Linked DNA regions of Xenopus tropicalis. The main gene of each other region encodes a partner of the protein of the gene in region 6 in a complex. Links are inferred from orthologs where the notes say so. Each region holds a gene or a part of one and is shown on either strand. Other genes may lie near its edges.

Region 1 (3,500 bases), on a different chromosome or scaffold from region 6:
CTCTTTACTGACTGCTTTATGAATCCCTCAAAACTGGTTAATAAGACCCATACTTATTATTCTTTTCAAAGTAATTATTTCCTTTTAAAGTAATTAATCTGAAAGATAAAAGTTTTATTGACAAGACCTCTAGAAAAAAAAAATGGTATGCTTATTGGATATTTCATCCTGGGGTTTAAGGGGAACTGCCGTTAAAATGAATGATAATGACATCCCTGACATTTTCCATTTTAGCGCTGAATTTTATCAGCAAGATGTGGGCTCAGCTTAATATAAGCTGACGGGAGGGAGAAGAGCCGAAGCTAATTTAATGAAATTCTGTATTGAGATGAAATATTTCCAATAGAAGCTGTCAGATCCTTTCTGTGCCATTTAATGAAGTTCAGGAAGAAGGGCCTATCTGTTTCTGTTATAATAAGATGCAGAAAGGCCATTTAAAGCAGTTGGAGACAGGGAACTGTTAAACTACAGCGGCTGTTTTCTGACCATATTGGTGCTTCTAACAAAACCTGTTCTCTGTTGGGGAACTTGGTTTGAGTGGACAAGCATAAGAAATACAATATTTGCAGTGCTCTTAGTTAATTATATATATTAAATTATAAGTGACTATTTATTTGGTAGATCTGGATGAGGCGCTTGTTTAAATACCAGAAAGATTTACTAGTGGGGAAGTGTCATTGTTAATTGAGCTTAACTTTTTAAGGCGGTATAAAAGGGATAGTGAAACATTGCAGTTTTAACAGCAGCATGGGAATAAGCCTATATCAACCTTATCACCCTGTTTAAAGTGGAACATCTTTCTGTCCCTTTAAATTCATGGGGATGCAGAATAACAAGCTACCTGAGCCAGACCGCAGCTGTGAAGGATCAGAGGGTAAATATGGAGGCAATACATTGCACACAATGATCCACTATTGCTTTAAAATAGACAAAAATAATTGTGCGTTTTTTTTTCTTTTTAAATTGATAGAATGACCCACTGGTATGTTAAAAAGGTATTAAGGTCATTAACACTAGAAAGGCCCTAAAAGCATTTATATACAGTATTCACTTAGTTTGTGCTCAGTAATTGTGTCTCCATTTCTAGAAACCATGATATATGTGTGTTTCATAATACCTGTACTTGTTCTGGTAGGGCTTTTGGGGCAGCTCATAAGTATTTATTATCTAAGTTTCCATTCAATACAATTGACCTGGCAGTGCTTTGTTTAGAGAACAGATAAAAGATGTCTAAACAAAGCAGAGCTCAAAACAAATGTGCTGAAATAAACCAGGTCTATGTATCGGGAGAAATAATGCTATGGTAATTTCATTATTTTAATGTTACTGGCCTTTTAAATAACAGGTTCTTGTGTGGATGAAAACGATTATTCTATGACTTCATACACTTACACGGGATTGTAATAGTAATTCTTAAGTTTGACAATAGCAACCAGTCAGTCTGTTTCAAACTGACAGCCAGTAAATGCTAGTGGCTGATTTGTTGCTGTGTGTTATCTCTCTCTAAAGCTGGCCTACATGGGCAGATCCGCTTGCCTGGCGATGTCGGCAAGCGAGCGGATCTTCACCCGATATCCCCACCTACAGGTGGCGATATCGGGGAGGCATGTAGGTGAATTCGATCGTTCGGCCCTGGGGCAGTTTGGCCCAATGGGGCAGTCGGTTTGGGGACCGCATCAACGAGCCGATTTGGTCCCCGATCCGACTGGATTTTCTAACCTGGCCGATCGATATCTGGCCAATTTCAGGCCAGATATCGGTCGGCCAGGCCCCTCGGTTCTGCCCCTACACGGGCCAATAAGCTGCCGAATCGGTCCAAGGATCCAATATCGGCAGCTATAATCGACCCGTGTATGGGGACCCTTACACTGCAGGTTGCTGTATAGTATATTTACAGAATGAGTACTTTTTAAGGGGTGTTTGTTTTTTTTTTGCAGGCGGCACTTTCTAAATATGATGCTACCAAACAGAAGAGAAAGTTCTCATCTTTTTTTAAGTCACTAGTTATTGAGCTGGATAAAGACCTGTATGGGCCGGATAACCACCTGGTGGAGGTGAGCACTGTGAACTTGCTGAAAGCCAGCAAAATATTTAGCAAACAAGGCTGCTTTACCATTGAATAAGACACAGTATGTTTGATAACCATTGATTGTGATCAATACAAGGAGTGTTGCCATTTTAAGGAGAAGCTTTTGGTAAAAACTCCATCATTGCTATAAAATATTTTCATTTAGTCTAGCTTTTTTTTTGACCATTTTAATTAAAGAAAGGCAAAGGAAGTACAGCCTTTGGGTTATCTAAACTTTAAAGTTCTTGTTTTGGATTGCCCCTGTGCAAACCAGCACATGCTCCACTGACCAGTCACAGGGGTTTTTCTCCCCCACTGCTTTCAGCAATCGAAGAGAAAGGCAGTGCCTGAATCACACATACTGCTGGAAGGTGTACCTCCACTCAGTAAAGTGCATGCATGGCTTGTTTCCTATCTGTTACCTTGGGAACTATGGACAGGTGGATAGGGATTTTTGTTTTTTTGTATGCAGCGGTTTTCGTCCTTGGTGGTGTCATCAGCAGCCAAAATAGCCTTTGATATTGGCCTTATAGAGCTTTTCTTTTACAGATCAAAAATATGAGTGAGCATTGAAATGAATAGGAAATCAGTCAATTTTTCTTTGCATTTTGTGACATTTTAAACATTGTAAACTACCAATATATTGATTTTGACAGTCTTTACATTATTTGTTTGTATAGAGTTACACTAAGTTACTGTAATATTTTCATTCTTAGTGGCACAGAACTCCTACAACACAGGAGACTGATGGTTTTCAGGTGAAGCGCCCTGGGGATATGAACGTGCGCTGCACCGTGTTACTGATGCTTGACTATCAGGTGTGTTCTTTGTGTGTACTATTTGAAGAATATTTCTGTGAATGCAGCGATGAAAGACAAATTCCTATCACAGACTGTGTGTTTGAGTTCTGTGTGTGTTTTTTAACTGTAGCCACCACAATTTAAACTTGATCCCCGACTGGCTCGCCTCCTTGGGATTCACACTCAGACTCGTCCAGTCATCATTCAAGCTCTTTGGCAGTACATTAAGACTCACAAACTTCAAGACCCTCATGAACGGGAGTTTATTATATGTGACAAGTATCTGCAGCAGGTAAGTGCCTATTTCCAATGAAATACCACTAATACAAAAAGTAAACAAAGCCCTGCTTTAAACCGTTTACGCTCGAAAAGCCTAATATCTGATTGTAACTGTAAGTTTGTGCCCTACTTGTTTAAGTGTTTCTGTTGTTCCCATTATGTTCTCCACATACAGCATACATAGTTCCATTGTATTGAAAAAAGACCAGAGTCCATCAAGTTCAACCCTTCCAATTAAACCCAGCACACACAACCTATACTGACCTATCTATACACTCACAGTTGTTAATTATGCAAATACTGCAATACTAGGAAAAGTTCTCCAGTTCTTTAGTGTATGTTTGGCATGTGGT
Region 2 (3,500 bases), on a different chromosome or scaffold from region 6:
ACTTTCTGGATAACCGCTCCAATGTCTGTATTATAAAGGAGAGATAAATCTCAATCTAAGAATAGGTAGAATTTGTGGGTCACCTGTTTAAAAGCAAGCATCTTATTGGTTGCTATGGGTTACTGCTTCTGGGCAAACTTAGTGCTTTTTATTACATATGGGGGTTAAAGTCCTGTCAGTTAGAGCTCTAAGCAGTCCCCAATAGCCTCAGTTGTCAGAGGGGCACATGAGTCAGTAGCTGGGAGTTGCAGCGCATATTTTTGTCGCCAGTAGAATGCCGGGCACTCGCCCTGAGTAAATCTAACAGCTGGCACATTTTGACTCGGGAATGTTGTGATTACACAGGTATAATTTCTAGGCGTTATCTTTATTCAAGCAGAGCGTGTTCCTGCGTGTTACCAAACACTTTAATTGCAGCGTCCTTAATAGTCCTTGTTTGTCTGACTATAACTCCGTGTCAGCAACGTGATCCGGCTCAGTATGGAACCTAGCAATGTTCCTCACTGCCTTCGTTTTATTTACCCTTTATATATTGAATAGAAATCTAAATAGGGCTGTTCTGCCCCCAATAAGGGGTAATTATATCTTAGTTGGGATCAAGTACAGGTACTGTTTTATTATTACAGAGAAAAGGGAATCATTTAACCATGAAATAAACCCAATAGGGCTGTTCTGCCCCAATAAGGGGTAATTATATCTTAGTTGGGATCAAGTACAGGTACTGTTTTATTATTACAGAGAAAAGGGAATCATTTAACCATGAAATAAACCCAATAGGGCTGTTCTGCCCCAATAAGGGGTAATTATATCTTAGTTGGGATCAAGTACAGGTACTGTTTTATTATTACAGAGAAAAGGGAATCATTTAACCATGAAATAAACCCCAATAGGGCTGTTCTGCCCCCAATAAGGGGTAATTATATCTTAGTTGGGATCAAGTACAGGTACTGTTTTATTATTACAGAGAAAAGGGAATCATTTAACCATGAAATAAACCCAATAGGGCTGTTCTGCCCCCAATAAGGGGTAATTATATCTTAGTTGGGATCAAGTACAGGTACTGTTTTATTATTACAGAGAAAAGGGAATCATTTAACCATTAAATAAACCCAATAGGGCTGTTCTGCCCCCAATAAGGGGTAATTATATCTTAGTTGGGATCAAGTACAGGTACTGTTTTATTATTACAGAGAAAATGGAATCATTTAACCATTAAATAAACCCAATAGGGCTGTTCTGCCCCCAATAAGGGGTAATTATATCTTAGTTGGGATCAAGTACAGGTACTGTTTTATTATTACAGAGAAAAGGGAATCATTTAACCATGAAATAAACCCAATAGGGCTGTTCTGCCCCCAATAAGGGGTAATTATATCTTAGTTGGGATCAAGTACAGGTACTGTTTTATTGGAAATCATTTAAAAAAAAATTAGAATTATTTGATTATAGTGGAGCCTTTCTGTAATTCAGAGCTTCCTGAACAATGGGTTTCCAGATGATAGAATGTATTTTGTTTGTACCAGCTATGGAGGAACTAGGGAGGGGCCGGGGTCATATATATGCCCCCAATCATTACAGACCAAACACTTTGATGTGTATTTATCAGAGCACATCTCTCTCTCTGGTTTTTAGGGTGAGCGCTGCCTTTTAATGAGAATCTTTCCATCTGTCTTTCAAACCACTGTAGTTGCTAGGGTAAGCACTACCCTAGTGACGGCTAACTGAGCTGGGAGCTTTGGACCCATAGCCTTTTGGGCTGAACCATTTCTCACTAACATTCCCCTGCAGCTTCAGACCCTGAACTTCTCCCTTACTGTCCCCCCCAGATTATGACGATGGTTTCTCCATGAAGCACAGCGCCGCTGCCCGTTTCCAGAGGAACCACCGGCTCATCAGTGAAATTCTCAGCGAGAGCGTGGTGCCCGACGTCCGCTCCGTGGTCACGACCGCTCGAATGCAGGTTCTGAAAAGACAAGTTCAGTCTCTCATGGTGCACCAGGTAAGGAAATTACATTTCTATTGGTTTCACTGCAGTTTGTTTGATTTGGCCTTTAATATCAGGGGAAGCAGTTTTGCATTACGTGCCTTTGGTGCTAAATGAAGGTGAATGCATTTAGTGCTGAACAGGTGGGGCCCCCCACTGTCAGTACTGCTGAACAGATGGGGGGGCCCCTACTTTCAGTACTGCTGAACAGATGGGGGGCCCCTACTTTCAGTACTGCTGAACAGATGGGGCCCCCTACTTTCAGTACTGCTGAACAGATGGGGCCCCCTACTTTCAGTACTGCTGAACAGATGGGTACTGCTGAACAGATGGGCCCTACTTTGTACTTTCAGCTGGCTGCTGGGGCCCCTACAGTACTGCCAGATGGGGCCCCTACTTTCAGTACTGCTGAACATGGGCCCCTACTTTCATACTGCTGACAGACAGGGCCCCCTACTTTCAGTATGATGGGGCCCCCTACTTTCAGTACAGATGGGCCCCCTACTTTCACTGCTGAACAGATGGGCCCCCTACTTTCAGTACTACTTTCAGTACTGCTGAACAGATGGGGCCCCTACTTCAGTACTGCTGAACAGATGGGGCCCCCCTCAGTACTGCTGGACAGATGCCCCCTACTTTCATACTGCTGGGGGCCCTACTTTCAGTACTGCTAACAGAGGGGGCCCCTACTTCAGTACTGCTGACAGATGGGGGCCCCCTACTTTCAGTACTGCTGAACAGATGGGGCCCCCTACTTTCAGTACTGCTGAACAGATGGGGGCCCCTACTTTCAGTACTGCTGAACAGATGGGGCCCCCTACTTTCAGTACTGCTGAGCAGATGGGGCCCCCTACTTTCAGTACTGCTGAACAGATGGGGCCCCCTACTTTCAGTACTGCCGAACAGATGGGGCCCCCTACTTTCAGTACTGCTGAGCAGATGGGGGCCCCTACTTTCAGTACTGCTGAGCAGATGGGGGCCCCCTACTTTCAGTACTGCTGAGCAGATGGGGGCCCCCTACTTTCAGTACTGCTGAGCAGATGGGGTGCCCCTACTTTCAGTACTGCTGAGCAGATGGGGTGCCCCTACTTTCAGTACTGCTGAGCAGATGGGGGGCCCCTACTTTAGAACCTTTGGGTGTAGAAGGGCTCTAATTCCAGGTGTTACATTAGGCATGCCCTTTCTTTTATTAGTAAACCTGTCTCTCCACTCTGTGTCACAACTAGAAACAGGGCAGAAGCGAGCCGCTCCCTTGGGTGTAGTCTGCGTGCACATAATTAACCCAAAGCCCATTGCTCCAAAATAAGCAACTCATTTCAAGATGAGAACACTCCTGTGAGTTTGTTTCCACAGTCCCAGTTACCAGCCCGTGTGTCCCTTTGTCAGAGGGCAAATAAACTGCCGCAGCAATTGCAAACATCTGGACAAAACAAAGACTCCAATAAAACTAGGTTTTTAGTATATCCTTATTAATTTCAGAAATATCTTGATAAATAAATAAATATACATTTAGAAA
Region 3 (4,052 bases), on a different chromosome or scaffold from region 6:
GTCCTCATTACCTCATATTAATAGGTCACTATGGATCTTTATCTTAAAATTAGATTAAAAGGGCTGAAATTAAATGAGACTGAGAAAACCTGACAATCATAAAGGCCATTCAATTTAAAATTAAAAGTAGAGGTCAGTAGAATGCCCCACATCTGCCAGTGGTGACCTGTACTACAATGCACCGCATCTACCAATTGTGAACTGTTCTAGAGTGCACCACATTTGGAAGTGCTGACATGTTCTAGAATGCCTCACATCTGCCAGTGCTGACCTGTTCTAGAATGCACCACATTTGGAAGTGCGGACATGTTCTAGAATGCCCCACATCTGCCAGTGCTGACCTGTTCTAGAATGCACCACATTTGGAAGTGCGGACATGTTCTAGAATGCCCCACACTACCAATGGTGAACTATACTAGAATGCACCACACTACCAATGGTGAACTATACTAGAATGCACCACACTACCAATGGTGAACTATACTAGAATGCACCACACTACCAATGGTGAACTATACTAGAATGCACCACATCTACCAATGGTGAACTGTACAAGAATGCACCACATCTACCAATGGTATCAGGTGCCAGTGATGAACTATACTTGCATGTACCTCACTGACAGAGAGTGAACTTAACTGTGTTGTACCACACTGACTGGTGTTGAACTAGACCTGAACATACCACATTCCTAGGCAGTGAACTCTACCAGAATAGACCATCCTAAAGTGATCTATACCAGCATGCACAACACTGAAAGGCAGTGAATGATACCAGTTCAACCATACTCCAAACAACCAGTGATGAACTATACCAAACTGTACCACACTGATCAACAGCAAACTCGGACCATGCCATTTGCTGGTGAACTATACCAATATGTATGAAAATGAAAAATTAAAAAGGAGTGAACGATACCAGAACACACCACAGTGACATGCAGTGAAAAGACAATTATAAAGTGAAGTAGATTTAAATCAACTGATCAGTTGTTTACCATGATATGCACCATTGTATAAAATGTAGGATTACTATTATTATATTATTCTTGGAATGGTTACACAAGCCATCCTAGATTATCTAGGCCCTGCTTAGCAACCATCAAGGCCTTATCTATACTCTCCTCCTGCCTACCTGGGACCATAATGATGTGCACTGATTGTCACATGAAGATGTTATGTCTCATTTTTCACAATTACACAAAGAATTTAGAAAGATACTGGATGAAAGTGAAACATCCACAGTCTTTATTTACACCAACGACTTTACCTTTGGATTGTACAACTGCGATGCAATTCAATAGGTCACCTGAGCTGTAACTGAACATGACTGCTTCAGATCACAATTGCATCCGAAAAATGCTCTAGAAATATTAGATCAAGGGCCTGGTGTGCTACACAAGTCACAAATCAGTCAGCTCAACATTTAGTCGCATTTAGTCTGATTTGGAAACCAGAAGTAGCAGCTTGCCAGTAGCACAGTCAATGTGCAATTCTATAGATGCAAGCGTTCTGTGCACTAGTGCCTGACTTTGGATGCAGCTATGGCATATAAAACACAATCATGCTTCAGGCGTAAATCATTTTCATGCCATTGGATTCTGCTAGTCACATGCTACAAACGGGCATGTGATAGTCAGGCACTATTAACAGACCCAGCAACTTGGACCTACTGACTCTGCCCAATTAAAACTGGATAAACAATGTTCTAAATTCTAAATGAAGTGATCTAGCACAGGGAAGATGGAAATGCACAATACATTGCTATTGGAAATGGTTACCTGGTAAGGCCCCATTGGGGGTCTGTATGCTCCAGGGTTTGGTCCCCGCATCATGTTCATTGGGCTCCCAGATGGTAGAGGTAATCCTCCCCGAGAGGTCATGGAGTGTTAAACAGCAGACAGCACTACTGTGCACAGGTGAAGGAATGCTGTGTATATACAAGAGGGATATACTCTGTGTGAACAACCTCCTTCCTAATGAATCATATAATGTAGAATTCCTAATTATGCAGCCCTGCACTGCGTGCGTTGGCTAGTTGCGCAGCCCTGCACTGCGTGCGTTGGCTAGTTGCGCAGCCCCGCACTGTGTGCGTTGGCTAGTTGCGCAGCCCCGCACTGCGTGCGTTGGCTAGTTGCGCAGCCCCGCACTGCGTGCGTTGGCTAGTTGCGCAGCCCCGCACTGCGTGCATTGGCTAGTTGCGCAGCCCCGCACTGCGTGCGTTGGCTAGTTGCGCAGCCCCGCAAAGTGTGCGTTGGCTAGTTGCACAGCCTTGAACTGCATGTGTTGGCTAGTTGTGCAGTCTTGGCTGTGTGTGTTGGCTACTTGTGCAGCCCCGCAAAGTGTGTGTTGGCTAGTTTGTTTGCACTTTGACTTTTAAACAATTTTAACGATATATCTTCAATAAATTTTTGATAAAACATTGAAGGGTGTGCTGGCCACAGATGATTATTTTCTGTATATACATAATTTTGGCTATGCACCCCGCAGAATATTGAGCCTTGGAGTGCGGACACCATTTGGATTGATATATATATATATATATATATATATATACACACACGCACATTTTATACATAAATTGTGTGTATATATTTATCCTCTACGTGTTGCCCTATTCAGTTATACAAGCTTATAGAGTTCGTGTTAGTATCAGTACTATGCCTATCAGACTGTAGCCCTGTGTGCCCGTAGCAGTAACACGCGTGTAAGCCCGGCGCTAAGTACAGCACAAAGCCGCTATCCTACAGCTAGTCCAGCACTACTAACCGGATTCCCCAGTGAAACCCAGCGGGGTTCAGCCTCTCTCCGTATAATTGTGCCCGTACAGCTGCTCTCAATGCGCAATCCCTGCGCTGCGATCCTCCGGCTGTAGTTTCCCGGGGCGCAAACCGAGCGCTCAGCACTTTCCCCTTCCTGCTGCTGTCGGGCGGCTCATAGGAAGTTATTGGAAGGTTTTTCTGTTGGTGTCATCACTTCCAGAGAGCTGTTTTGCAACAAACCTCCTTTTCTCATCTCTGCCCTCCCACTGCCTTCCCTCCCCTCCCCTCCTCCTGTGTCTCTCCTCCCTCTGTTTCTCTTCCCCTCCTCCCCTTGTCATCTGCCCTTTCTCTTTCGTCTTTGCCAGCCCTCCTCTACCTGTACCCACCCCCTCTTACCCGTGCTCACTCTCCTTGCCTGCCCTCTCTTACTTGTACCCACCCTCTCTTACCTGCACTCCCTCTCTCTGCCTGCCCTCTCTCACCTGTATCCACCCTCTCTTACCTGCACTAACTGTCTCTGCCTGCCCTCTCTCACCTGTATCCACCCTCTCTTACCTGCACTAACTGTCTCTGCCTGCCCTCTCTCACCTGTATCCACCCTCTCTTACCCGCACTCCCTCTCTCTGCCTGCCCTCTCTTACCTGTACCCACCCTCTCTTACCCGCACTCCCTCTCTCTGCCTGCCCTCTCTCACCTGCACTAACTGTCTCTGCCTGCCCTCTCTTACTTGTACCCACCCTCTCTCACCTGTACCCACCCTCTCTTACCCGCACTCCCTCTCTCTGCCTGCCCTCTCTCACCTGTATCCACCCTCTCTTACTGTCTCTGCCTGCCCTCTCTCACCTGTACCCACCCTCTCTTAGCCACACTCATTCTCTCTGCCTGCCCTCTCTTACTGTCTCTGCCTGCCCTCTCTCACCTTTACCCACCCTCTCTTAGCCACACTCTCTCTGCCTGTCCTCTCTCACCTGTACCCACCCTCTCTTACCTGCACTAACTCTACCTGCCCTCTCTTACCTGCACTCACTCTCTCTACCTGCCCTCTCTTACCTGCACTCACTCTCTCTACCTGCCCTCTCTTACCTGCACTCACTCTCTCTGCCTGCCCTCCCTTACCTGTACTCACCCTCGCTGCCTTCCTGTCCTACCTGTGCCACCTTCTCTGTCAGCACTACTCTACTTGTGCCCACTCTGCCTTTTCCTACCAGTTCCACTCCCTTTGCCCTTCCCCTCTGTACCTGTGCCACCCCTGCCCTTTTCTATATGTGCACACCCTGCTACCCCAACCCTA
Region 4 (3,500 bases), on a different chromosome or scaffold from region 6:
TTCGTACGAACAATAAAAGCATTGTCAAGACATTTACAACTACAGAAATTATTGTGGTTACTTCAAATTTATACCAAATCACCTTCCAAGGCCAGAAAAAATGCATCTTAGTAAATGTGCCCCTTGGTGTCTACCTCCAAAGTTCAGTTCAAAGAGCCTAATGTATATAATTCTCTAATCATTCTCTGTATGTTTAAGGAATGTTGGCACATCAACTGTTTTGTTCCTACTATATTTACCTTTTTGATAAGATTTTGTTAAATGGCAAGACAGAGATAGTATCCAACACCATACACACCTCTCGCTATGTAGCACATATACCTTTTATTTAGATAATAAGCTTACAGCTAATGTCGCACATGGTGGTCCCTCCACCATCCTATTTCCACCAACAAGTGTTCTGGCCAAAAACCACTGAGCACAGAAGATGTAGCTGGCTTTCCATTAAGGGGCTTGGGTGCATTTCTCTGCTGGCAGTGAAACCACCATGTCTGACATTAGCTTAATGCAAATACAGATAAAATGTCATTTCATTTACACACTTTGATTTGGTGCTACATTTATCCGGGAGCCTGTTTTGAGGATTATAAGTTTTGAATGAAAATATCCACTAGTTGGTGTGTGCAGATGGAATAGGCCAATGTCCTACACAAATACATTTACATTCATTGTCAATAAAAAAAAGTGATTTTCACTTACTGTTTATAACTGAGAACATTTGATTGTAAACATATGCTTTAATCATTATGACAATAATGCTGTAACCACATTGTGTGCTATTCAATAAAGATGTGTTGAAATACAAAAAAAAAAAAAAAAAGTGATTTTACCTGCCACTCAGCAGGAACCCTGCAAGTGCGGTGAAGTATTGTGAATACTATAAATGGTGCTTTTGCCTCTGACGGTATAATCTGCATGTTCCTCCTAAGGAAAAGAAGATTTTTTTTATCCTCCTTTGACTATAGTTACATAGTTACATAGGGTTGAAAAAAGACCAGTGTCCATCAAGTTCAACCCATCCAAGTAAACCCAGCACACCCAACCCACACCTACCAATCTATACACTCACATACATAAACTATAAATACAACCACTAATACTAACTGTAGATATTCACATTATAAACTGTTTCTAGAACTTACTTAGAAAATTACTTAAAAAATTAAGACTCTGAACATGCAGAACCTTCTATGAATGAAATATGTTTCATAAAGCAGTCGTAAAGGCCAAGGTAGATGTGTGATATTATCCTGGATTTCCGACACTTCTCTTAAATCTATTTAGTGGTGTTTATGGCTGAGTTTAAAATGAAATACAGAACCTGTTTTTTACCAGTTGAAGGCCTCAGCCTACTTAAAGCTGTGCATATATAAGGAAATGGGTAAAGGGTAACTAATCAGATCATAGGTAATAAAGGTTTTGAAATGTTCCAAACATTAGCCTTACCAAAACGGCAATCTTTGTGAGACTGTGTATTTCATGGCAACCTGTGCTGTATTTAATGAGGCCGCGTTGCAGAGGGTTATAGGAACCATTGTGTTAAAGTGTACCCCTTCATATTATTCTTTGTTGGGCGTAAGTAATTGTGATTTTCCACCACTGACATTTTAAGCTACAGATCTTCAAAAATAAGATATTTTAGATTGTATCTGATAAAAGAATGGAGCAATATTTTGTAAATATCACCCTTATTGCATCCTATGACTGATTTTGACAAGTAATTCAAAACTCTTTCCTTTGTATCTAAGCCACCATGTGCCATGAGTCTATGCCATTCTATTTCTGCCAACATGGAGGTACACACAGATGGGGCGGTCATCACACTCAATACAACTCACTTAAGCACTAATGACAGCAGGATAGGCTATAAAAACTAAAATACAAAAAGCTAATTTACAAAAAGTGTTAAATTTTTTGCCTATTATTCACCTACATTCCTGGCATGGTCTTTAAATTGCCCCTGCTGGTGTAAGGTGCAAATCATTAAACCCCATTCTGAAGGTACAAAGATGTGCCCTTGTCTGTGATTGGCAGTTTGGAGGGGGGGGGGGGGCTTGTGTGTCACTTTGCAGGCTCCTTACTTGTACTTATACAAGTGCAAGGAGTGTCAGTGGGTGTAATGTATCTGGAATAAGTACAGATTCCTTTTCTACCTGGTACACTACCCTGTATGAATTGCACTAGATGCATTAACAAAAATGAGGAGTAGAAAAAAAGGAAGAGTCACTTAGGGGCAGAATTATACACACTTTAGCATGCCTATGGCACATTAATTCAAAATTTTGTGTTATGTTATTACAACGGCTGTGTGCTTCCAAAAATCATCCTTATAGCTAATTCTCCACTTTTTTTTTTTTTTTTAGATTGCTAGCATCGGAATGTCAGTGAAAACGTATACGGACCTAAAATTTTTGCCCTTTTAATCAGAAAAGTTAGAGAAGTGTAGATTAAAATGTATTGCATTCTCTCTAAGCAAAGTGATCATGAATCTATTCAGATGTGTTATAAACAATCAAGATGATATTAATCCCGGCCAAATGAGCTAGAGATTTTAGTTGTTACCATATTAATATTGATACAGAAAGCAAGCAATATAATTATTGTATTTAATTACAGATGTTGACTTTCCTCTGAGGAAGGACAATGTTCTGGCAGAAGGAACGACACTGGAAGCCTTGCTACGAGGTGAAGGAATTGAGAAGAAAGATGTTCGAGATGAAGAAAGTCTACAAGAGATTCAGGTACATTAGCACACACATGCCACATGAAGGAACATGACAACAGTCAGTTAAACCATTACCACTGACTCTATTTGAGTGAGTAGCATGTATGCAGTGCTTAACAGGCAGCAGCTCCCATATGTAATAAGAGTCACAAAGTTTGTCTTGGTGCTGCAGGGTTGGACTGGGCCAGGAAAAAACCTGGTGGGCCCCACTGGCCCATACCTGATCCAAAGCATTGGCACTCCTCCACTGACCTCCCTCCCCCTATTGCGGGAAAGTATAAAGTTTGTGCGCTCAGGGGGTTTGGGTGGTCAGTCGGCGGGGACCCCTGGGGTGGCAACCACAGAAGGCCCCCCACACCCTAGTCCAATGCTGTAGTGCTGTAACCCAGAGCAATCAATAAGATGTTTGGTTTTCAACAGGTGACCTGTAAATGCTACCTGCTGATTACTTGCCATAGGTGACAAGACCTGTTGCAAACTTTGCACCTTTTATTACATGACCTGTTAGAGCTTTTCACCAAATAAACACAGCTTACATTGGGGTCACTGGAAAAATGAAATACACCTATTTAGGTGATTGGGGCAATGATTTCCTCTGGAAACTAAAGCTGGCCATGCACCTTACAATTTCAATCTTTCCCGCACCCATGTTTGGCCGCCTTCAAAGGTGCCCGACAATAAATTTCCATCCTGCCTAATTGACGAGGCGACCAATATCCAAAGCTTTTACCAATATTAGTCGCCTTGTCTACCACCATAAACACACCACATATGT
Region 5 (3,986 bases), on a different chromosome or scaffold from region 6:
AGTGGCGCAATGGTTAGCTCTTTTGACTTTGGGGTCCTAGATTCAGTACCTAGAACTCAAATTGACCACAGAGGGCATAATTGTTATAGGTACTTAGAGCTTTATGCTACACTTGGGAAGGGACTGGTGTGAATGATATATAATCTTTGCCAGGCGCATAAGAATGTGTTAGCACTATACAAAGAATAACAATAATTATAATGTGGCAGTGTGAAGGGGGGCTTATTATATGAGGAATATAAAAGAAGCAGCTGAATACAGGTGCTTGACATAGTACTAAAGTACTCACTTTATGTGGAGTTTACAAGAAAGTGGAGCGCACACCATATCTGTTTGGCAAGGCCACGGAAATGGGGACCTGCTGCATGATCTGTGCCAGCAATGGGGACTATGGGAGCCCTGCTGATGAAGGACACACTTTTCCCTTACCCTTCCATGGTGACTGGTTCTCCTTTCTTTCCTGCAGGTCCCTGAATTGCAGTGGGCACACTATCTTCCTCAAGGCTCCAATCTTCCCTGCAGCGTACTTGTATCTTATTACTGGACCTGCAATCAAACAAATTTAGGATATAACTGATATTAACAACTTCAGTGTTTTCCTTTATCAGTTTTAAGTCCATTCATCCCCTCCCAATTCTCTCTCCACCGCCTGATCTCTATTATTCTGCTCTCCCCTCACCTTCTCCCCCCCTTCCCCCCAACCCACTTGCTGCATTTTTTTCTGCTGGCTTGTTAACAAAAGGCCCTTATGGGGCCTCACCAGCAATGACTAGGCTCGTCCTATTTTTATCTCAGTTTTCCTCACAACCTGACTGCCTCTCCCACCTAACTCATAAACTTGCCTGTCTCTCCCTTTTTGACAATCCCTTCCCGCGCCCCCCATCCAACACACAAAGTCTCCCCTTCCCATTGCCCCCAGCTCCCCCTCCTCCCTTTACAGTACCTTAACCTTCTCCACCAATCATTTTCTTCTTCAGCCTCCCAGACTTGTCCCTCGCAATGAACTCTGGGCAACGTAGTGCCATTTTCAATTCATATTCATACTGGCGCGGCTCTCAAAACTACAACTCCCAGTCTTACCCTCAACACGGCCTTTGATTGGCCATTGCGTGCAGAATGAATGAAATTGTACAGTATTGTGATATTAGAGGGGCTGCAGTGTTCCTGCCTAATACCCAGCTGCACCATGAACACAGCCCTCCACAACCCCTTAAAATCGTGAGTATACTGGACTTAAAGATAGTTACAGCTGTGTATACTGCATTTACACTGTCTGAGACTGTATATCTTTCAGATGTATACATGTGTGTTTAGCATTATTACAACATGGACATATCTACATGAATACTATGCATGAAAGAGTGTGTCTGCCTGCCAATTTGTGTATTATAGTGTGTGTGTGTATGTAATACATTTATTTGAGATTATATATATATCTATATATATATAGATATATGTGTGTGTGTGTGTTTGTTCTGTACATTTGCATGTAGATTGTTATATATATTAACTCTTGTGGGTGCTATATATATATTAAATGTCAAAAAGTGGAATCAACCATCTATTCTGCACGTATACTATGCATTATAGAATTTCACAGTGAGGTCACATCCAGCTGCTTTTAGAGGAGGGTCTTACATCTGGATTAGACTGTATCCTTAGGGTATGTCTGAGGTCTAGACTGCGACTGCGATCGTTTGCCTATTATCTATCCATGTATTTAGCTACCTATTCATCCATCTGTCTTTGCCTATCGTTCCTTTGGGAAAGGGAATTTATTTGTGATTACCCATAGTTCACTTTTCTACAGCATTTTCATATAAAATGTACAGCAGTGTTTTGCTGATTTTAATAGTATTTGGTTGCACCTGAGTAATATGAATTTTGAAAGCTAAATTTAGGGTATTGTCTTAAAAATAAAATCCCTGTAACTTATGTTAACACTATTAATGCATTTTATGCATAATATTTATTCAAAAATATGTAATATGCTTAAATATGTGTTTTAAGCCATACATAGCACCATGCAAGCAGAGCAAGTGAGCTGAGTGCCTGGGAACCTTCTGTCCTTAATTCCTAGTGCACATCTGGGCAGACTGTATGCACGTGATAAAGTAGCCATTAACCCAGTCAGTGCCTGAAGTAATCAGACTGTAATAATAAGCAAATAATGGATACTGCATCACTCTGCATACTGTTTGACACTAAATAATTATTTGTAGTTTTGCAGCCATGAGCATATTTAAAGCTGCAGAAGATTATAGAAGAACTGCATTTTGTCAGATATGAGTAAAATATGGGTTACTGCTGTCACCTAAAATCCTATATTTCTCCCAGTGGTTAAGCTGGGGACATTTCACTTTAACTCATTCAGCTCTGACTGAATACAACTGTGAGAGGCAGTTCTCGTTCTTTCTGGTACTGTGTGCAGTTATCAGTTTAACCTAATTTGATTTGACACATGCACTGCAAAATATAGTATGACTGCTCTCTGTAAAATGCATTATATGCATGCTTTTTATCAAAAATATTTGCAGATTGTGACTGTAGCTTTGTAAGCAAATTGGCAAGGCTTCTCTCTCAAGCAATGCACTGGACATGAAGACTTGATAAGGAGAAAGCCTTTATTGAGTGAAAATCTAATGTTACAGATTATCTTATTGGTAAATTAAATTTTTGGTAAATTAAAATACAGTTACTGTTACTAATCTTGCTTTCACAAGGACTTACATATATGGCGCTGTTGTATTAGGCTGTATGCCACACTCACATATATTATAAGATCCGTGTATACCTGCTTTAATTTGACAATTCTAATTTCTTTAGTATATTTGTATATTAAGGAGACATTGTTTTAATCATTTTTTAAAGAATAATAAGTTTTATCACTTATATTAGTAAGTAAAACAAAGGAAATTTAATTTATTAGAGGCACTGTGTCCAAAAGTTACTGCTTGGTAAATTTAAGCTAGAGTTTAAATCATTTTTAGGATAATTTGGCCACCAGAGGACATGGTTTCAGTGGACTCTGTGGTTCATATGTAACTGGTTGCATTGGTGAGAAACATTAAGGCAGCTTTTACTGCCTTATACAAATAAACATAATGATGCGCAGATAAATAAGGCCATGGTAAATACCTTATATGAATTTATAGAAATATAAATTGAATATAGGCCCTTTTACACTACACTAGAACTTAGTAAAGCACAAATTATGCAGTGTAAGTCCCTGTGTGTATATATATATATATATATATATATATATATATATATATATATATATATATACAGAGATCTGCATGTGCACCCAAGCAACCCTGATATGTTTTTTCTTTATGTGTCCTAACATCATTTCTGTCATATTGTTGATATTTAGGTACTATATATACTTTAATATATATTTAATATGTACTATATATATACTTTAATAATGAATGCTCCTTATATATATTTGTTGTGTGCTCAGCCTGGTGTAGTAAAGGGGCAGTATTATGGCAGAAAATAATTGAACGTGCATTATATTTTGACTGTTATATTGGTACACACTTGCCTATCCACTCAAGCTATCATTCCTGATCTTATAAAGTTGCCATTGAAACCAGCATTGCCAGTTTCCAAGCTGTCTGGGTCCTGTCTGTGTCTCAGCTCCAATTATATGTGTGCAGACATCTCATGACAGTTCTGCCTGACTGGGTGAACCCAGCCTGTTACATATTCATATCTGTGGGGAATTCATATATATTGTATCTGTGTGCATAATAAGCATATATGCTCCCATGTATCCATAAATGTACATTTTCTGTATACATGCACATGTATTGCTAAGAAAATACCTCTTCATAATAGATTGTTATACAGTACTATAAAATAATTATGTCATGCTTTGTGAATATTAATGATGACCACTGCAGAACTGAAGACTTACCTACTGTAAGATATAACTAGAAAAATATCCTATCTGAACAAGGCAATGATACATTTTGGAA
Region 6 (3,500 bases):
AGTGCCTCATTTGCCCCCATAAACAGTACCCCCCCATAGATAGTGCCCCCAATTGACCCCTTAGACCATGCCCTCAATTGCCCCATAGAAAGTGCCCCCCATACAGTGCCCCCCCATACACAGTGCCCCCCATACACAGTGCCCCCCCATACACAGAGCCCCCCAATTGCCCCCATAGAGAGTACCTCCAATAGAAAATTCCCCGCTCCTTATTCGGCTCCTCGTACGGCGGCGACAGGACCTTTTATAAGGTTGCGCCCGTGCGTACGTGTGACGTCACGCATACGCACGGGCGCAACCTTATAAAAGGAACTGTCGCTGCCGTACGAGGAGCCGAATAAGAATAAGGAGCCGCATGAAGAGACAAGCGCTCCGCTGCAGCCAGCGCGTCCCGCTGGCCTGGATTGTTTAATGAATGTTCTGCATTTCCGTAATGCGGGACATTCATTGAACAATCCGGGACAGCGGGACGCGCTGTAAAAACCGGGACTGTCGCGACCCCTGTGAAAGGGTCATTCGACCCCCAAAGGGGTCGCGACCCCCAGGTTGAGAACCGCTGACTTAGACTGTAAGCTCTATAGGGCAGGGCCTGCTTCCTACTGTGTCTCATACCACAAGGCATCTCTGTATTTATACTTATTTATTGTATTTATTATGACGCTTGTCCTCCGTGTGTAATTCTGTATACTGTAAGATTGTACAGCCCTGTGTATCCTTGTAGCACTTTATAAGTAAAGCTATACATACATACATACATGTTCCATGCACATTTATATAATCCTTCAAAAAGGATTTTTTTTAAAGAGCTTTATGCCATACCATTCATGTTCCACGTAAAGGCATCTCGAAGCTTCTGCCCATCAATTTCCATGTCTAATCGAATGGGAACCAGGACTTCTGACTGAGCAGCATTTTCATGAATGACTGCTGGATCATGGTCATCAAAGCTAAATATAAAAAGCTCATCATAACTAAAGGCCAAAGTATTAACTCATGTACACATCTATCCTGAAAGCAGTTCATCCAGTTCACAGTTTCAATCAAAAAGCTTAAGGGCCGTGACACACAGGGAGATTAATCGCACTGCGACAAATCTCCCCGAAAGGCCATTCCACTGGCTAGAATGTAAATCGCCAATGGGATGGCATACGCGGCGGCCCGATTTCCTCTCAAGGCAACTTCGGCAAATTGCGCCGCCGCGTCTGCCATCCCACTGCCGATTTACATTCTAGCCGGTGGGATGGCATTTCGGGGAGATTGGTCGCCCGTGACCAGGGAGATTTGTTGCGGAACGTCTAATCTCCCCGTGTGTCAGAGCCCTAAAGGAACAGTTCCTTGCCCTTTAAAATGCATAAACAAATGAAATTTTAACCTTTGTGACACAGACCACTATTAAAGGCTGTGTAAAAAATTAAGGTTGAATATATATATATATATATATATATATTGAAGAAAAGACCAGCAACACCGGATCTATTGTAAACAATCAATTATATATTGAAAAATACATGAACAGCCAACGTTACGTTTCGGTCCCCGTCGGGACCTTTCTCAAGGCAACCATGCTTTCCAACCATATGACCCATTTATACCCATAGTGACCAAACAAACAGGAAATGACATCAACCATAAAGTGACTATTGCAGTAAAGTGAGCAGTCAATGCTGCAAAGTGATCTGTGCAATAAATAGTAATTGTTGAAATATTAAGAATAAATACAGAACATGATGTTTAAAATATCATAAAACATTAATAAAGTGATATAGTGAAACAACCTGTCTCCTATTTAGTGTGATATATTACTTTACATCGCATAATGTGCAAATTATCTATGTGCATCATAAATTTTTCAAGGTGACCCCCCAATAATACATTATTGGTGTACCCTACTATATATCTCACAGTGTTATCAATACATAATTAAAACCATCATATCCATAAAATCAAATGTACATGAATACGCTACGCTAACTGATCCAGGAAAATTATTTTCCTGATAAATGGGGGCCCCCATTTATATTTAGAATCTCTCTAAAGCAATAATATTACCTAGTCACAAATTATATTATCTTATAGCAAGATGGAACAACCAAAAAAATCACAAAGTTAATGACCATATATACATATATGAGAATATATCAACTTGATCATAATAAACCAAATTTATACAGAAGTATTCACAAAAAACAGTTCAAGGACAGAGAGCTATTCAGACCCCTAGGAGCCACACAGTCCAATTCATACGTCCAAAACGCTTCCCTTTGTAACAAGATGCGGTCAATGTCCCCACCTCTTTGTGAGCCTGAAATACAGTCAATTGGCATACACTTGAATGATGATACTGGATGCCTAGCATGTAACCAATGTTGTGCCACTGGTTGTTTAGATATGTCCTGTTTGCCCTCCTTCTTCACAGGTTTAGGGTCCAAAGCGGCCCTAATAGTGGCCCGGTGCATATTTATCCTTTCTTTCAACTGCCTGCAGGTTTTCCCGCAGTATATTAGCCCACATGGGCATTTAATAATATACACCACATTGCGTGAAACGCACGTAAGCCTGTGTCTAATGGTGTAGGACTTACCAGTGTGTGGATGGTAGAAAGTGTCCCCCGTTATTAAAGTGTTACACATAACGCAATTACCGCACTTAAATACTCCCGTTCTGTTTATATGAGCCTGCGTAAAATACTTGCTTACCGGGTCCGCAGGGGACAAAAGTTCCTTTAGATTCTTATTCCTTTTGTATCCAAACCGGATCCGTTTGCGGTTAATTGCTGTCAGTTCTGCATCAGTTTTAACTATAGGCCAATGCTGTAATATAGATTTTTTAATCAGCGGGGTATGCACATCATAGGTGGTCATATAACATAAAACATCATCATCTGTATCATTATCGCAATCCAATTTATGTCTCAAGGTTGTCTCTCGATCTAATGTTTCAGCCCATGTCTTAGTGTTACCAATCAGTGTAGCAGGGTACCCCCTTTCTAGGAATCTTGTTGCCATGTCATCCAATGCCTTGCGCCTTTCCTCTTGCTTACTTGTTACCCTAACAACCCTCAACATCTGCGATTTGGGCAGTGAATCCAGAAGATGGCGTGGATGGCTGCTAGTGTAGTGCAATAGCGAATTCCTGTCCGTGGGTTTCTGAAATAACCTAGTGTGGAGCTGGTTGTCTATTAAATCTTTGCACACAGTTACGTCCAAAAAATCAATGCTGTGTTTATCCCTGTGTACCGTAAACCTTATACTTGAGGGTACAGTATTTAAATCTTGGACAAATGACAAAAGTTCCTCATCCGGTCCATACCAAAGAAAAAACAGATCGTCTATGTAGCGCCTAAAGTAACCACCATGTTTACGGAAAAGTGGGTGACTATAAATGTTTCGAGTCTCATACCAATGCATAAAAATGTTGGCATAAGTGGGCGCTACATTAGACCCCATTGCGGTCCCGGCCAGTTGAAGAAAATAATTCTCCTCAAATTTGAAGTAATTATT
Region 7 (4,057 bases), on a different chromosome or scaffold from region 6:
TAAAGGACAGTCTATAGACCACTACAGTTGTAGGACTTTTGGCTTCAGGGTAGGGGATAAATAGGACTCCCCTAGACCTGATGAAGAGGGCCTAAGACACCTGCCCCTTCAGGCCTCCTCGCTGGGGGGGCATTCATTCTTTCCATTTTAAAGGAGGGTCTAAATTTGCTGACCCTTGCATTCTTTTGTTTTTTTTTTGCACCTGGGTGAAAAAGCATGTTCTTCAGGCTTCAAAAAACATATGAGTGAGATTGGCAGGGAAGGTCATAGTCATAGTAAACTTAGACTTTGCTGATAAACTTGGTCTTTGCTGATATGAGGGTTGGTTACTTGGGGAGCTCACATTCCAGTTACTGCATGGGGCTCCAAATGTTTTACTTTAGATTAGTTTAGATTTTTTTTCCTTACATACGTTGCATTTTATTCTCAGGGGGACGGATGATCTTCGACAGTATCAGCTTAACCAATAAATACGTTTATGAGTACCAGAGGTCATTGTAGAGCTGTAAACTGTAAAGTTAAATAACAAATGGTTGACCTGCATAGGAAATGGAAGTATGGACAAAGAGCAGTATCGCTGACTCAGAGCAGGGAAGGCGATTTAAAAGTGTTTATATAAGGAAATATGTGCTATAATGATACTTTTCTTTCCCTTACAACACAGCCATACATGAAGAAATAACTAGGCACTATCACAATATGCTGGCGCTAGAGACAAGAAGTGCAATCGAGTCACTGTATTCATGGATTGTACGCAACACAATGCAGTGCGTCACTGTAACGTTACAAAGCTTACTGTCTCGGCAGGCTGCAGAAATCCTAACGAACTGCATTTGGTCCTGACATTTCTGCAGACATAAACGTGCAGACTATCTGCTTTGCAAAGCCATGTTTTAAGAGAGTAAATCATTTCAGGCCAATAAAGAATATAAAAAGAAAGAGTTCTGCACCGCGCCCTTTATTATACAGCAATTAATGGAAAGGATAAGGCGTGGTATATCTAAGTGTAGATTTAATGAAACATATATATGTATATTGATATCTATGTATGTACGTATCTGTGTATATACGTATCCGCATCCTAGCTAGTAGGTGTAACTGCCTCACTCTACGCGCCCCCTTCGCCCGCAGTTCCTACAGCCAATCAGCTTCCCAGTTCCTGGAACGCTCCTTATATGGTGCAGCCGGCTGGGGCGCGCAGCATAAAACCGGCGCCCTAGCCCGACAACTGCTCAGTGACCCGCCCGCACAGAAACAGGACAGTGTGTGTGTCGTACTCTCAGGCAAGTAGCGCCGAGCCTGCTATTGTTGTGCTTTTCCTCTGCTATTTCCTGCTTCTATTCGCCTATTTTTCTCTATATATTATTAGAATAAGCATGATTTGGTTCTAATTGGCTATGTTTTTCATAATGTGCTTGAAATAGTTGGTAGCTTAATGTAGCGTTATTTACTTGAAGGTAAGACTTGTTAGTAGACAAGCGTGAAGCCTGGTTCTGGAATTGTGCTAAAGTTCAGTTCCTTATATGCTTAATTAGATCTTAATTGATAAAGGACACTGGAAGTTGTAGGTTGTACATACTGGAGAGCTGGGGAACCATTTTTCTGTTACAGCAGGTTTAACTTGTAAGTTGCATTTAAAAATAGGGTTTTGTTTTTTTTTTGTATCGTTTCCTCTTCTGTAAACTGAGCCCCCAATAGCAGCGCCGCTTGGGGATGTGCGATTGGGCGGTTCCCTGCCGATGTTAGTGTGAGGCTGCACACAAAGCTACATATTGTGTATAAGTGTGTGATGCAATCTGTGTCGGAACAGCCTTTTGCTGTCTAAAATATATTGGCGGTAGTTCTCTCCCGCTTCGGTTTAGACTTTCCATATGCATGTATATCCGTAACTAGAATACAAAAGCGCAAGTTACATCTTATATATTTATTTTGTCCTTGCACTGGTAAAAACGGAGTCACACCTGCAGTATGTGATTCTGTCCTGTAGTGTTGCCTTCATGAAACATTGGGAGTGGTAGTCGGTTGGTTCGATTGCCTAATACCAGCAGTGACTTGTTTCTTTGCCACACCTTCACTATCCATGGCTGGATGGGAGGGGTGCTTGTGTAAATCTTTGCTGTTGCCTTATTTGGTAATACAGAAAATAAATCGATTTCCCTTTGTCTAAATCTGTACAGAAATGGTGCAAACCCCTGCGCCCTCTTGTGACAGACCTTATGAAATGCAAGTAATGGGCAGGAAGCGTCCTTGTGGTATATACCAGCGCTCATAATTTGGGTGGATAATTATCTCAATTTTATTTATTTTTTAAATTTCAGATTACAATGGACGACGATATTGCTGCACTGGTCGTTGACAATGGTTCTGGTATGTGCAAAGCCGGCTTTGCAGGTGATGATGCACCCCGTGCTGTTTTCCCATCCATTGTTGGTCGCCCAAGACATCAGGTATGCCCTTTTCATGCCTTTTTCATTTCATGTCTAAATAAAACCTAGAAATAAAACTAGTAAAGCACCTCTAACAAATCAGTGTGTTGTCCCAAGGAGGTAAAACATTTTTTTTTTTTTTTTATGTATTTAACTGTTAAAGGTGAAACTAATCTGGGGGCAAATAAAACTGCAATTCTGCATGGGTTATAGGTATGTTGGTAACAATATATTTGCCATTGAGTGTTTTTAAACCATACACGTAAGGATAGTTTCCAAAAAGTGTTGCATAAGATGATGCAATTTTTTTTATTTTTTTTTTTTTTTTTACTCTTTCAAATAAACACTGCAGGCAGGAATAATCACATAAATAGCTGTGCCTAGGGCACCCCCCAACTCTTGTGCCCTAGGCTTGTGTCGGTTATTCCTTTAAGCTGGTTTTGGGCACTTCTCGGCAAGGCTGAAACTAGGAGTAGGCATATTTAAAATAAACTCTTTATACTGTCCACACAAACCCTGTTTATTGACTTATGCTGTGTAAGTGCTAAAGCCAGTTACATTTTCCAACCCTGCATGAAAAGAATTTCTTTTCAGAGTGTAATGTGGTTTAATTTAAATGGAAAAATATTTTAATTAAGTGCAGGTTAAGTGTGTGTATATAGATATTTAATATGATATATATATTGTACTTTGCACACTACATTTCCATATTCTTTGCAAATTGCCTACTTCTGTTTATTTGTGAAATACACAGGGGCGTGGTTAACATAGCAAATGTTCTTGCATACTCTTGTTTCCTGTAAGCACAAGATGACAGGAAGTATTACGAAATTAGAGGGCCCTGCCCAAAAGAGCTTTTACTCTAGAATTTCCTCTTAAAGTCTGCATTATGTGAGGTCCATGAAAATCCACTTTATTCATTCCATTGTCTGGCTAGTATTGAATTAAGGCATGCTTTTCATTTACTAAATTACTTAATTTAGTCCAAATTGTCTTACGCTTTATTTTAGGGTGTCATGGTTGGAATGGGACAGAAAGATAGCTACGTAGGAGACGAAGCTCAAAGCAAAAGAGGTATTCTTACACTCAAATATCCTATTGAGCATGGCATTGTCACTAACTGGGATGATATGGAGAAGATCTGGCATCATACCTTCTACAATGAACTCAGAGTGGCCCCAGAGGAACACCCAGTGCTGCTGACAGAAGCACCCTTGAATCCCAAAGCTAACCGGGAGAAAATGACGCAGGTATGTTACCTGTTTTCTGGTGTGAGGGTTTGGGTTGTGGGTTTTGTTTTGTGTTTTTTGTTTTTTAATTATATAATTGCTATTCCTTACAGGGCTGTCCTGGCCTCAAAGTTTACTGGAATCTCAAAGGTTTTTTTTCAGTATTTGCCTGTTTTACATCAAGGGTAGAATACTAACAATGTTAGCGTTGTGTGAAAAGTGCTGAATGATGGCTTGTTTTTCAAAGTTCACTTTGCTTGTGTTTTTCCTCACATTGGCCCTGCCTAAATTTGTGTTGTGTGCAGCAAAATCAAATGCTGTTCTGAAACTACACATGCATGAGTTTTGGATGCCTTTATGCAGGTAATGTGCTAATTGCCTTTTCAACCATTACAGATCATG

What was found.
Region 1: smarcb1 (region 6) and smarcd1 share a complex: the UniProt entries of both Homo sapiens proteins name them as parts of the BAF complex. The link is inferred for Xenopus tropicalis from reciprocal best matches to the Homo sapiens genes SMARCB1 and SMARCD1.
Region 2: smarcb1 (region 6) and smarce1 share a complex: the UniProt entries of both Homo sapiens proteins name them as parts of the BAF complex. The link is inferred for Xenopus tropicalis from reciprocal best matches to the Homo sapiens genes SMARCB1 and SMARCE1.
Region 3: smarcb1 (region 6) and smarcd2 share a complex: the UniProt entries of both Homo sapiens proteins name them as parts of the BAF complex. The link is inferred for Xenopus tropicalis from reciprocal best matches to the Homo sapiens genes SMARCB1 and SMARCD2.
Region 4: smarcb1 (region 6) and dpf3 share a complex: the UniProt entries of both Homo sapiens proteins name them as parts of the BAF complex. The link is inferred for Xenopus tropicalis from reciprocal best matches to the Homo sapiens genes SMARCB1 and DPF3.
Region 5: smarcb1 (region 6) and dpf1 share a complex: the UniProt entries of both Homo sapiens proteins name them as parts of the neuron-specific chromatin remodeling complex. The link is inferred for Xenopus tropicalis from reciprocal best matches to the Homo sapiens genes SMARCB1 and DPF1.
Region 7: smarcb1 (region 6) and actb share a complex: the UniProt entries of both Homo sapiens proteins name them as parts of the BAF complex. The link is inferred for Xenopus tropicalis from reciprocal best matches to the Homo sapiens genes SMARCB1 and ACTB.

The regions. Positions count from the first base shown.
Region 1 is NC_030678.2:148,808,472-148,811,971, forward strand, and holds part of smarcd1 (SWI/SNF-related matrix-associated actin-dependent regulator of chromatin subfamily D member 1), read left to right. Parts: intron 1-1,937; coding exon 1,938-2,054; intron 2,055-2,784; coding exon 2,785-2,886; intron 2,887-2,998; coding exon 2,999-3,160; intron 3,161-3,500. UniProt on the Homo sapiens protein: Involved in transcriptional activation and repression of select genes by chromatin remodeling (alteration of DNA-nucleosome topology).
Region 2 is NC_030686.2:8,354,895-8,358,394, forward strand, and holds part of smarce1 (SWI/SNF-related matrix-associated actin-dependent regulator of chromatin subfamily E member 1), read left to right. Parts: intron 1-1,826; coding exon 1,827-1,999; intron 2,000-3,500. UniProt on the Homo sapiens protein: Involved in transcriptional activation and repression of select genes by chromatin remodeling (alteration of DNA-nucleosome topology).
Region 3 is NC_030686.2:15,739,913-15,743,964, forward strand, and holds the start of smarcd2 (SWI/SNF-related matrix-associated actin-dependent regulator of chromatin subfamily D member 2), read right to left. Parts: upstream 2,801-4,052; 5' UTR 2,769-2,800; intron 1,930-2,768; 5' UTR 1,883-1,929; coding exon 1,781-1,882; intron 1-1,780. UniProt on the Homo sapiens protein: Involved in transcriptional activation and repression of select genes by chromatin remodeling (alteration of DNA-nucleosome topology).
Region 4 is NC_030684.2:106,457,046-106,460,545, forward strand, and holds part of dpf3 (zinc finger protein DPF3), read left to right. Parts: intron 1-471; exon of another isoform or gene 472-924; intron 925-2,614; exon of another isoform or gene 2,615-2,616; coding exon 2,617-2,741; intron 2,742-3,500. UniProt on the Homo sapiens protein: Belongs to the neuron-specific chromatin remodeling complex (nBAF complex).
Region 5 is NC_030684.2:77,399,072-77,403,057, forward strand, and holds the start of dpf1 (zinc finger protein neuro-d4), read left to right. Parts: upstream 1-1,186; coding exon 1,187-1,218; intron 1,219-3,986. UniProt on the Homo sapiens protein: May have an important role in developing neurons by participating in regulation of cell survival, possibly as a neurospecific transcription factor. Belongs to the neuron-specific chromatin remodeling complex (nBAF complex).
Region 6 is NC_030677.2:153,157,578-153,161,077, forward strand, and holds part of smarcb1 (SWI/SNF-related matrix-associated actin-dependent regulator of chromatin subfamily B member 1), read right to left. Parts: intron 948-3,500; coding exon 820-947; intron 1-819.
Region 7 is NC_030685.2:46,572,744-46,576,800, reverse strand, and holds the start of actb (actin, cytoplasmic 1), read left to right. Parts: upstream 1-1,257; 5' UTR 1,258-1,283; intron 1,284-2,318; 5' UTR 2,319-2,324; coding exon 2,325-2,447; intron 2,448-3,436; coding exon 3,437-3,676; intron 3,677-4,051; coding exon 4,052-4,057. UniProt on the Homo sapiens protein: Actin is a highly conserved protein that polymerizes to produce filaments that form cross-linked networks in the cytoplasm of cells.